Linked DNA regions of Struthio camelus. The protein of the gene in region 3 interacts with the protein of the main gene of each other region in a pairwise test. Links are inferred from orthologs where the notes say so. Each region holds a gene or a part of one and is shown on either strand. Other genes may lie near its edges. The genes, in order: BMAL1, BMAL2 and EPAS1.

What was found.
Region 1: the proteins of EPAS1 (region 3) and BMAL1 interact in binary tests that used the Homo sapiens proteins (3 or more experiments, as listed by UniProt). The link is inferred for Struthio camelus from reciprocal best matches to the Homo sapiens genes EPAS1 and BMAL1.
Region 2: the proteins of EPAS1 (region 3) and BMAL2 interact in binary tests that used the Homo sapiens proteins (3 or more experiments, as listed by UniProt). The link is inferred for Struthio camelus from reciprocal best matches to the Homo sapiens genes EPAS1 and BMAL2.

What each region holds. Positions count from the first base shown.
Region 1 is NC_090946.1:25,523,967-25,527,712, forward strand, and holds the start of BMAL1 (basic helix-loop-helix ARNT-like protein 1), read left to right. Parts: upstream 1-1,396; 5' UTR 1,397-1,496; exon of another isoform or gene 1,497-1,633; intron 1,634-2,016; exon of another isoform or gene 2,017-2,164; intron 2,165-3,746. UniProt on the Homo sapiens protein: Transcriptional activator which forms a core component of the circadian clock.
Region 2 is NC_090942.1:77,266,833-77,270,578, forward strand, and holds the start of BMAL2 (basic helix-loop-helix ARNT-like protein 2), read left to right. Parts: upstream 1-1,096; 5' UTR 1,097-1,296; coding exon 1,297-1,357; intron 1,358-3,746. UniProt on the Homo sapiens protein: Transcriptional activator which forms a core component of the circadian clock.
Region 3 is NC_090944.1:108,882,556-108,886,301, reverse strand, and holds the start of EPAS1 (endothelial PAS domain-containing protein 1), read left to right. Parts: upstream 1-906; 5' UTR 907-1,206; coding exon 1,207-1,232; intron 1,233-3,746.

The DNA.
Region 1 (3,746 bases), on a different chromosome or scaffold from region 3:
TGGATTAGAATAACCACAACTGCATTGTAATTAGATAATACCGCTACCCACACTTCTCTGGTGATGTGGTATTAGTAAATATAAACCAAACATTTGTGACACGTCATCCCAAGACAGGAAATGTCAATGTTAAGACAATGATAATGTGGCAATGACAATCTGACGTAGTAATAAAACAGTAACATTTGAACAACATTTGCATTTGATTGCAACTACGTTGTAACTTCGTTCTTGCAACACATCCCCTTAACATGCCAGCGTTGTCGCATGGATGATGGTTTTCCGACTCAATTATTAGAAGATATCTAAGTTCGCACTATAAAATGGTGTAGTGGACGGCTTTACCATGCTCTGCCACTGGCCTTTTTAAACACCGAAAAAAATTATTGCAGCTTACAGTGCATTAGAGAGTCACATTCTGAGATGACATAGCATTTATGGCAGTAAAACTGAGGGCAGCATCGTACATGTGCTTCTGTGACATTCTGAAGGGTGCAGTGAAGAAGGAGGTCTCATCAAATATGATGTGCACGTGATGCAATAGCAACTTATAGATGTCATATCATATACAAGAACATATACATACAATACAGCAACGTGAGGCAGATACAATGCTGCGGTTTGCTAAAGAAGGTGGACGTCATTGAGAACGACCTTGCAGTCTACGGATGCAGCCGAGGAGGCAGTAGGATAGAAGGAGCATAGCATGACAGGACAATCATGGTCAGGTCATGCTGAAAAACAGCGAGGGCAGGGAGTCCATGCTGGAAGAGTAATGAGGCACATGCCTGTCTGCCCCGAGCTGGGCAGCACTGCCTCTGGCCAGCTGTGAGAAGCCCCCAGCTCCGTGAGGCAACAAGGATGCTGGAGGTGGCCAGGCCTTAGCTGCCGCCACACAGGCCGGCATGGGCCCTCGCTTTGCCACGGCAGCGGATGCTGGGCCAGAAGGTGGGGAGGGCAGGCCTAGAACAGGCGGTCGCAAAGTGCAGCAAGGCCGAGTGACGTCACGGCAGGCCGCGGTGACCTTGATGCTTCAGAAGTGACGCCACGGCACGGGACGATGTCACACCAATGACGTAGAGCCACGGGTGAGTCACGGCGGCGGCAGTGAGGCTGCTGAAGGGAATAAGGACGAGCAGCTCGCAGCACAGCGCTCCGCCCGCCGCTGCGCGCACCACCAGGGAACACCACAGGAGAAGCAACCGCCAAAACCGCCACGCCGCGAGCGCCACATCCGGGTCCCCCGCGCAACCGCCCCCCCCCCCACCGCGCACGCGCCTCCCCCGCGGCTAGGAGGCGGGACTGAAGGTCCCAGCCGCCTTTCTGATTGGCTGGCTTCTCGGGGGCGCCCGGGGATTAGCTGCTGTTTAGGAGGGCGGGCGTTGCCTGCCCGCCTGGCCGGCCATTGGGCAGAGCCGCCGGAGAGCCGCTCGCCCGTTGGCGGACCGGCGCGTCCGGTCCGGGGCCGAAGGAGGGTGCCATTGGCTGGAAAGTAGGTTAGTGGTGCGACGTTGGGTGGCAAGCCAGGCGGAAAGTAGGTCAGGGACGGGGGCTGCCTGCGCCGCGCGCCGCCGAGGGACAGCGACCCTCTCCTCCCCCCGCCCCCTCGGCCGCGGGGGCGCGTGAGCCCGCGGTGAGCCGTTAGGCGGCCGGTGGGCGACCGTTTGGGGGGCGCGCGGGGGGGGGGGCGGGGGAGAGGGGCAGTCCGCGGCTCGCGCTGGCGAGGTGGCGGGGGTCGCCCCCTGGAGGGCGGGGTTGGCCGGTCCCTCCGCTGCCCCGCTGGAGCTGCCGCCTGCGGCAGGCCACGGGGGAGCTGCCCGCCTGCGCCGGGGGAGGCGGGGGCTGCGACTTCTCCGCGGGGAGGTGGCCGGGCCCGGGCGGCGGCGGCGCCCCTCGGAGCGAGGGGGGCGAATGCGGCGGCCGCGGCGCGGGCCGCCTCGGTGCGGCGGGAGCCGGAGAGGGCGGGGCGGGGCGGGACGGGACGGGCGGCAGCCGCCTCCGCCGTTTGCAGCCGGCCCCGGCCCCTAGGGCAGAGCCGGGGCCGTGGGGTCCTGGCGACGGCGCCTCCTTGGGAGTAAGGAAGGGGCAGGAACGGGGCTCCTGGAGCTCGGGGGTGGCAGCGCTAGCTCTGCTGCTTCCCATCTCGAGTTTGCCTCGTCTAAGGGTGAGTGTGTGGTGGCTGAGGTAAGTCACGGAGTAGCGAGAGGTTGGTGCTCCCTCCCCTGCAGCAGGGATGGGTCCCCTCGGCCTCTGTCCCGCAGGTGATCCCTTTGATCTTTGTCAATGAATCAGGTGCCCTGCGTTGAAGCCAGCTTTATGTGGGGCGCGAGGAGTGTATGTATTTAACACCTCAACGACGGTGGTAGTTGGAAATCTCGATAGACTGTGAGTCTCTGACACGGAGGCCAGTCCTACCTGCAGACAGCTAGAGCCACATGGAGAGCCGCTGTGGGATTTCTTGCTTTTACTAACAGTACAGCCCAGTTACCTCCTCTCCTTGTGAGATGAATGTTTTATGGTTAAGTTAGGGTCCTCAGGCTGTCCCGTCTGGTGCTGTTACTTCTCAGCCCTCTGTGTCTGACAGCCGTATGTGTATCTTTTGCTAAGAAGGAACGTTTTTCTTTGAAAGTGAAAGTAGAATACTGACAACAGTTAAAGTGGCTTCTTGCGATCAGGATTTCGTTTTTTTATTTTTGTGGAACAAATTGTGTTTTTCATGACTGAAGTTTCTGTTATTCCAATGCCTCAATTATACTAGCTTTATAAACCTCTTAGTACCTGAAAATAACGTTGTAGTATTTTTACAAGAAGCAAGTGGGTGTGTTTGCTTGTTTTTGAAGTAGATATACTATTAGCAGTTTTTAAGTAACTTGCTTAGTATCTGGGGTAGAAAAGGGCGACTGCAGATAGCTGTCATCTTTGTAAATGATTTTGAACTCCAGTTTCTTTGTAGAATTCATTCAGGCTTTAAATAAAAATTTCTTCCAAACGTTGGTCCTTAAACATTCAAAATGAAGCTACTTCTTAATTTGTTTTTGATAGGTTAGCATTAAAGTAGCCTATTCTGCCTGTTTACTATAGTTTGGTTTTTTTAATTGAAGAGGTCTTGTAAATGGGAGCAATTGATAATGCATAGACTGCAGCCAGGTCTGTAGGGGGAAAAAAGAAAGTTGTTTTGTTTGCTTCAATTGACTATTAGTACTGGCTAACTGTCTTTGTAAATAGTCTAGCAGAAGGCTGAGGTTAAACATTGCTCCCCGAAGAATGTGGATGTTTGGTATTTGCAAGGGTATGCAAATGTAAATCATTATTTGAAGCGTCAGAAGCTGTAGAGCTCTCATATGACTATTCTAAACCAGTATTTGCCTATTAAGAGGAAAGCTTTTCCATCTTCTAAGCTTTGTGGTTTTATACTTCTCATGACCATTCATGATTTTATGCCTACTTGTGGAAATGGACTGTAAAATAACCCAATAAAATGTTGTGGTTATAGATTAATATATTGTTTCATCCTGTATTCTTTTACACAGCCTATTTCCATTGTCTGTCCCCATCACAGTTTCAGAGGATGGTATCTAGTAAGCTCGAGGTCTGTGTTTTTCTTTTTTTTTTTTTTTTTTTTGTTTTCTTGAAAGAAAAGAACAGTACATCTAGAGATTACATGAACGAGAGGGGAACACCATAGAGAACCTAAGGATAACTGCTTTATTTTGTTCTTCCCTACAAGGGCCTTTGGGGGTGTCAGG
Region 2 (3,746 bases), on a different chromosome or scaffold from region 3:
GTCCTAGGTTAACACATGCATCTGCAGGGTAATCTACGTGCACCCTTTATTTAGGCATGAAGTCAGTGAGCCTGCTGTTCCATCTTTATTAGCACATCTTGTTAAGTCGAAAAGAACCCCTACGACTAATAATAGGCGCGAGCTCTGCAAGTCCACTGTACAGTACACCTGGAGAAGCAGCTTCCTTCACATAGGTCCCCGATCATCTGGTTCCGGCCTTACTGCTGATGAGCAACACCAGCTGCACTGTACATGCAAATTCCCTCACATGGGAGTTCAACAGGTAGCAGCAGGCACGTGCTCAGCCCATTCAGATGGCTCAGGCGAGGAAGTCTGAGGCCTTGGCAACAGTCTGTTCTGCCGCACACAGACCTGGAACTGGGCGGGTAGAGGCTACATCAACATCAACACGTTGGGCTCCTCAGTAAGAGCGGTTCTGTCAAGTGAATCCCCGTGTTGCTGAGGTCCCAACGTCCGCGCTGCAGGTGTCCTAGAGGCTGTATTTCAGACTAGCTCCAGTGAGGTCCCAGGGAGCGAGAGCCCGTTAGCAGTTGGGCCACGTTAAGTGAGCTCTTAACAGCGCTTCTTTAGGTTTCACGCAAAAAGAATATGGTTCGCGTGCTCCCAGACCACTCCAGGATGTGAACCAAACCACGGCGAGGACGACGGGCAGATTCGCTTCAAAAGCGCGCTCCCGATAAGCTGAACACACAACTACACCCCGAGCATCTACTGGAACCCAGGTCCATTCACCCAGTTTCACCTGTTAGTCAAAGCTAACTCTATTTTTGTGTGTCAGCGCGTACTCGTGCGCCTGCCTGTTCTGTGCCCCGCTCTGAGGGGCAGCCGCACGCCCAGAAGGCCGCAGGCGGCCAACCGCCTTCACCCGTTGTTCCTTCCCGGCCCCTCCTGTGGCGGGGGGGAGGCCCCAGCGGCCGTTGGTCCCCTCCCCCCGCACCCTGCGCGCGCCGGGCGGCAGCACCTCCCCCTCCCGCCTCCGCCCGGCCGGAAGTCTCGCGAGAAGTGTCCTGCCGGGCAGGGCAGGGCTGGGGCGGGGCGGGGCGGGGCGGGGGGAGGGTATGGCGCCGGCGGGGGCGCTGCTGAGGCGGCGCCGGTGACGGGAGGAGGGGAGGGAGCCTGTGGAGGCGCTTGCGGACCTTCTCCTCCCCTCCCCCTTTCCCCCCCAACCCCAACCCCGCGCCGAGCAGGGGGGCAGGACGGGCGGTTTCTGCTCACCTTAGTTTACCTCCTGCATGGTGGCGGGGGCGCTGTGGAGCGGGGCACGGGCAGCCCGCCATGGCCGAGGCAGGAGCGGGAAACGCCGAGGGGGCCGAGGAGGAGCGGCGGGCGACGGAAGGTGGGGGGGGGGGGAGCGACGGGGGCGCGCGCGCCGCGGCGGGGGGAGCAGCCGTTGGAGGCGGGGGGCGGGGTGCCCCCGGCGGCGGGGTAACGGCTGTGGGGGGCGAAAGAAGGGGGGGGAGGTGTTGTAACGGGCGGGACTCGCGCGCGGGTGTCGGGGTGTCCGTGGGTGCGTGAGTGGTGCGGGGTGGGGGTGTGTGGGGTGTGGTAGGGGAGGAGGGGGCTTGTGTGCCCCTTGGTGCCGGGGGGGGGCGGGGAGGTAAGGGCGCGTGTCTGCAGTCCGTGCGTGGCCGTTGTTGGTGGTGGTGGGGGTGTAACCTTCCCGCGTGGGTAGGAGCCCCCTTAGGCCGCTGTTTTCCCTCAGCGCAGCGGTTATGCTTCCAGCATGGGGCTGTGTATTCTGAATTGGGGCTGTTCATACTCTGGCCCCCAGCGTGTTGACCTGGACTCGAGTAACGATTTCTCCCGTTTAGTTCAGTTAGGGTACAGTTAGTTTAAGTCTAGTTAAGGTACACAGTGGTGTTAGGTTGTGGGCTCCCAAAGAAACGTTTACACTCTGCTTAGGTTTGTTATTACTGTTACAGATGTGTCATCATACCTCAGTGATCTGCACTAAAAATATTTTTCTTTCTGTGTATTTAACTTAGTATGTAATACACACTTTCTGATATACAACTAATTGTTTTATGTGTCCCTAATGTGTTAGTATTTTTTTTTCCTGCAGGCGGATGTAATTCAGACTTTTGAGTGTAGTGAATTTGGCTTCTCTGTGTGAGTGTGTGTGTGTGCACTTGTATAGAGGCAGAGGTTTGACATTCCTCCTCCTTCATAAGTTTCTGGTGCTAAAACGGGGCTAGTGTTAAGCCAGCAGCAGCTGTTTGTGCTCCTCCTGCTGCAGGAATGAGTATGTTGCTTCCTCCTTTCAAAATGTTGATCTGAGGAGGAAAAAAAAAGATGTTTTGCACGGAGTTTTGAGCTACAGAAGTGAGCAAATCGTTCATAAGTCATCATTGCTGTTCTGTTTAGTTAGCACCAGTTCTTCTGGGTTTGTTGTTGTCTTTTTAATGTGTATTTGGGGGATTCGTATGTATGTGGTTTTTTTTTTTTTATATATATGTGGGGGTTCTGGTTGTCTCAGTAGTTGGTATTTTTTCCATCTCTGTGTTTCTGAATTATGAAGATTAGTTGTTGCTTGGTTGTTTAAATACTGGTATAATTTTGTAATAAGTAATCTAGTTTTTGAAAGTAAAGGTTTTTTTGTAGGGGTTTTTTCTTTTTGCTGTCTATGAAATTGTGTTAAGAATTTGTTTCTGTATCATACACATATTGTAAGAAAAGGAAATAATCTAAATGAAGAAAAATCAAAATATGTGGACTTTTCCATGTGAAAGTATCCATGGGAAAGCAATGAACAGTAGGTTTTTATGTTATATTGTGAAAGAATTCCGCCTGCTCTGATTTCTTTTGTTATTTATGCTTCTACTAATTCTTCTAACATATTTTGAAGAAACAGAGTCTCTTTCTGTTAATCAATTAACATTTTAAAAGGTGTAAATTTTTTAACTTGTATAAAGGACCTAAAGATTGGAATAGGTCAGCTTAGCAGTTTTTCATTTTAACAACATCTTTTTCTTACTATTGCATATTAGGAAAAGCAAACTCCGGACTGGGCAGTTCACATCAGCTAAAGAGTCTAATTCACTGTAAGAAGAAAATCACTTTGTGGGTGATTGTGGGAAGTGAATCAATATCAATACTCTGAAAATTCCCTTCTTTGACAACTGGGCCCGTTAAACCACGGAAGTTCTACTGCAAACTTGACAAAGTTATCATTTTACTCAAAAAAAAAAAAAAATTTGGTTCTAAAACTTACAAGAGAGCTGCTAGCCTCAATTTCTTTAGCAATATATGATCGGAGAGATTTTTTTTTTTTTTAGTAATGAACTAAGATACATGAGACTCTAGATTTCTATCAGTGACCTGATTTGACCCTGGAAGTGTCTGGGGAAGCAGGGTGACCTTTCAAGGGCTTGTGTGGTATCTCTTCACTAGCTGGTTACAGTCAAGGTTTTTAATACACTAATAGGTTTGGCCAAATACTTAGTGTTTGAGATTTATTAAGTAGATGTATTATTTAGTTGGTAAGTTATGATTCTTGACTACCTTTTTTGTGAGTGAATGGTTAAAGTAACTAAGTAAAAATAGATGTATAAAATATTCAGTAGCCTGTATTAATATGTTTAGTTTAAAATCTTTTCTGTAATTCAGGAAATAATAATTTTTCTTTTCACTGTTTCATGGTATTAAAAACAAATCCAGTGTTCTGTTTTTAAGTTACCCTATAAATAGATTGTTCTCAGTATGGTATTGAGCATGAGATGACTTCA
Region 3 (3,746 bases):
CATGAGAGGAGCTGTAGCGCTTCTTGCCCCAGGAATACTTCACTTTCTTGCAACAACTGTGCATTTTACAAATTTAAAGTTTAGTTATTTATAACTAAAGAAAATAACAGAAATGTCATACGATACAGTAAATAAAATTGGAAAACAAGGAAGAGGAGGGAAGTACTATCGCTGGCTCAGAGGCGCTAAACTGCCTTACCTTGCAGCGCCCCGGCTCCTTCGCACATACCTCTCAGGCCGACCCCCCCGCCCCGTGCGGAGGCGGCCGCCTGCACCGTGTACAGCTCACATCCGTAGCCCCCAAGGCAGCAGGGGCATCGCTACGCGCGCCACTCGCTTACCTTCATTGCAGTATTTATTTATTTGGAAATAAGTCGTTCTCCCCGACACCAACCCCCCCCCCCCGCGTTAGGGGCCGGGGCGGCGGCAGGGCCCCGTTTCTGAGCGGGGAAGGGCGGGCGACTCCGCGGCGGCCCGGGCCGCAGCCCGGCGGGGGGTGCGGGCAGGTGCGGCGGCGTCCCGGTCCCGGTCCCGTCCCGGTCCCCCCCCGGCCGGAGCGCTGCGGCGGGACGCGCTGGGAAACGCCCGCGGGAAAAAGCAACCTTGAGATAAATAAAACCGTAATGGGTGGGGGGGGGGGGGAAGAGGGGAAGAGAAACCAAACCAAACCAAACCAAAACTGACAGCCCGGCGTGAAAGCGGCGAGGAAGGCAGGGCATCCCCGCCGGCCCCACGCGGGTCGGTGCCCGCGGGTGGGAGCGGCGCGGAGCGGCGGCGGCGCTGCCCCTGCCGGCGGCCCGGGCGGCCGGTGCCGTGGGCGGGAGGCCGGGCGCGGCGGCGGCGGCGGCCCCCATTGGCGGGCGGGGGCCGGGGCCGGGGCGAGGGGGCCGGACCTGCCCCCGCGGCCGGCGGCGGCCCAAGTTTTAAAGTGAGAAGTTTCTTCTGGCGGCGCCGCACAGCCCGGCCGGAGCCGCTCCCCGTCCTCTCGTCTGTCCGTCCGTCCGCCGCGCCCCGGCGGGCTGTACAATCCTCGGCAGTGTCCTGAGACTGTACGCCCGCCTCGGGGCTACCGGCCCGGCCCCGCACCGCACCGCACCCGCCGCCCAGGGCCGCCCCCGCGGAGCCGCCGCGTCCCGCTGCTGAGCGCCGGGGCAGGTGTTGAGCCCGGCCCGGCCCGGCCCGAGAGGCGGCGCAGGAGCCGCCGCGATGACAGCTGACAAGGAGAAGAAAAGGTGAGGGGGCGGCGGGCGAGGCTGCGCGCTCCTCGGACCCCTTCCTCCTCCTCCTCCTCCTCCTTTCCCCAGACGGTGTCGCGGCGTCCCGCGTGGGGCCGCGCCGGGCGCCCCCTCGGGCTGTTCCCGTGTGTGTGTGTGTGTGTTGGGGGGGGGGCGTGTGCGTGGGGCCGCGTCCCGCCGGCCGGGGCGGTGCAGGCGGGGAGCCGGTGCGCGGCTGGCCGGGGGTTTCGGGCCGGACCGGCCCGGGCTGAGGCGGCGCTGGGGGGCAGCAGCCCCGGGCTGCCCTGCGGGGTGGAGGCCGGCGCGGAGCTGGCGCCGCGCCCGGGCAGAGCCTCCCCGCGGGGCTGCCCTTTGCCCGGCGGCACCGGGCTGAGCCGCTGCCCTGAGAAACTGCCCCCCCCCCCCCCCCCCGGCGCCGGCCGCCGCTGCCCCAGGGTCCCCGCGGGCGGCTGCGCGGGCCGCCGCGCGTCGGGGGCCGCGTCTGCCGTGGGGTCAACTCAGTGCCGGCGGCGGGGCTTGGTAGCTTGCTATCGATTAGGGCCCCGGTTATTGGGTAATTATTTAACCTCTCGGGTGAGGATGGGGTTTGGAAAGAGGCATCCGCGGCAAAGCATGTTTCATCATAAAAACGGCCCAGGTGTAGTCGACGTGTTGTGTAAACTTTTCGTGAAGCGCCTGAGACTAGTAAATTTCAACATCTCCTGGCTACGGCCTAAGAAGTGGGCCACCTAACTTGGGCCACCTAACGTGGGAGAGCTGACCAAAAAGCGACATCTCGCGTGGTTCGTCACGGTCGAGGAGTGCGCTTGGCACCTTACATGAAGCATTACGTTTTGCCGATTACTGCTTTTTGAGGAGGATGTACAGCTAAGCGTTTCCATATTGCTGTAATGAGTTTTCCCAAGGGAGCAGAAGCACATTAGTAAATGGAGTTTCGTAGTTGCATCAGAGAGTATATTCTTGACGTTAAGCATCAGAAGGAAACGTTCATGATCCCTAGCATAGTGGTTACAGGTGGAGATAAAGAAAAGAAGTATCAAGCCATGGCTCCAAGGCTGTAAACAACTCGTAAGGAGGGGTGAGGGAGCTTACAGGAGTGAAGGCTAAGCAAGTGAATAAAGGTCCACTAAGTTTTATAGCAACCTGTTCTGTTTTATGCAAATGACAGTTATAAGACTGTTCTTGCTATCAGCTCGGGTTGCATCCCTGTTCTGATTTTAGGTTGTGCTCCTAAGAGAGGTGTTTTACGGAGTAAGAATTTTATGTTGTTGTTTGTCACATGCGCTTTTCGGTTGCTGATGCACTATAGTTTGAAAACTGTGTTTTGGTTTGTCAAACAGCTCCTTTTTATTGAGTCACCCTATCACCAAGTAATAGGGGAGCTATTGTAGTATATCTGATACATTTTATACATCTCTAGTCTCAGTTTATCAAGCATTAATGTATTTAGGTTAAAAATTACCTCCAGTGTATTTTGTTCCAGGTGTTATTGTTCTGCTTAAGGCATGAAATAGTGGTACTTTATGCATCCTCTTTTGTCGAAAAAGAGAGTAAAACATTGTATGGTAAGATGTACTTATAAAATGTTTTATAGTTTAGTTTATAGGAATTAGAATGAAATAGCGTATGTATTGAAAATACATCGTTCAGTTCATTCAAAGTATCGTCTCTTTTAATGGGAAACTCTTAATTTCTTCAGTCTTAACCTCTTATTTTCAGTCCCTATAAGAGAATGAGCACTGTCTAATCTTCCAATACATGAAACTTTAAAGTCCTTTCAGAAATATTTTTAAAATATGATATAGAAAAACATTGATGGTCTGAATTCAAATTCTGGCTCTGTCGCTGATTTTAGTAAGTACGGTGACATTCTAGTGACAATTTTCTGCCTCTCTCAGAAGTAGGCTAATAATTGTTATCTGGCTGATGGGTTTGTTGTGTAAATTAATGTTTGCGAGAGCTGGGAGACTATCAGATGAGAAGTGACTTAAGATAGCATGCTTGTGCCTCCCTGTCTATGTGTATATGTATATCACTGCAGGAGTACTGTGTAGCCTACTGGAGCAAGATATGTTTTATTTGCCACTACTATTACAGAACAGACTTACTGCCTCGAGTTCAGCAGTTGTATTTGCTTGATTTCTGTCCAGATATACAGCTGGGAACTCTAACCTGACTTGCTAATAGCATTTATAAATCAATTTCAGGGAGGAAAGGTGGTGGGGGTAATCTGGTTTACAAGATTTGCAGGCAACCCTGGAACACACGCTTAGAGGAGCAGTTCTTTTACTGTTAAACAGATGCTCTACGGAAGATAATCTTTGATTCCTTTTAATAGTCCATTTAAGTTGAAGAGCGTTCTCAGGTTTTCATTTGGAGCTGCTCTGTCACAGGAAAAGACCCAGTGTTTTCTTTGGAACAAATGTTGGAGCACTTCTTAGTAGGCTATCCTACGGATTTGTCCCATGAAAACCTGGTCTAAGGTACTGAGTTGAGATTAATATGGTTATT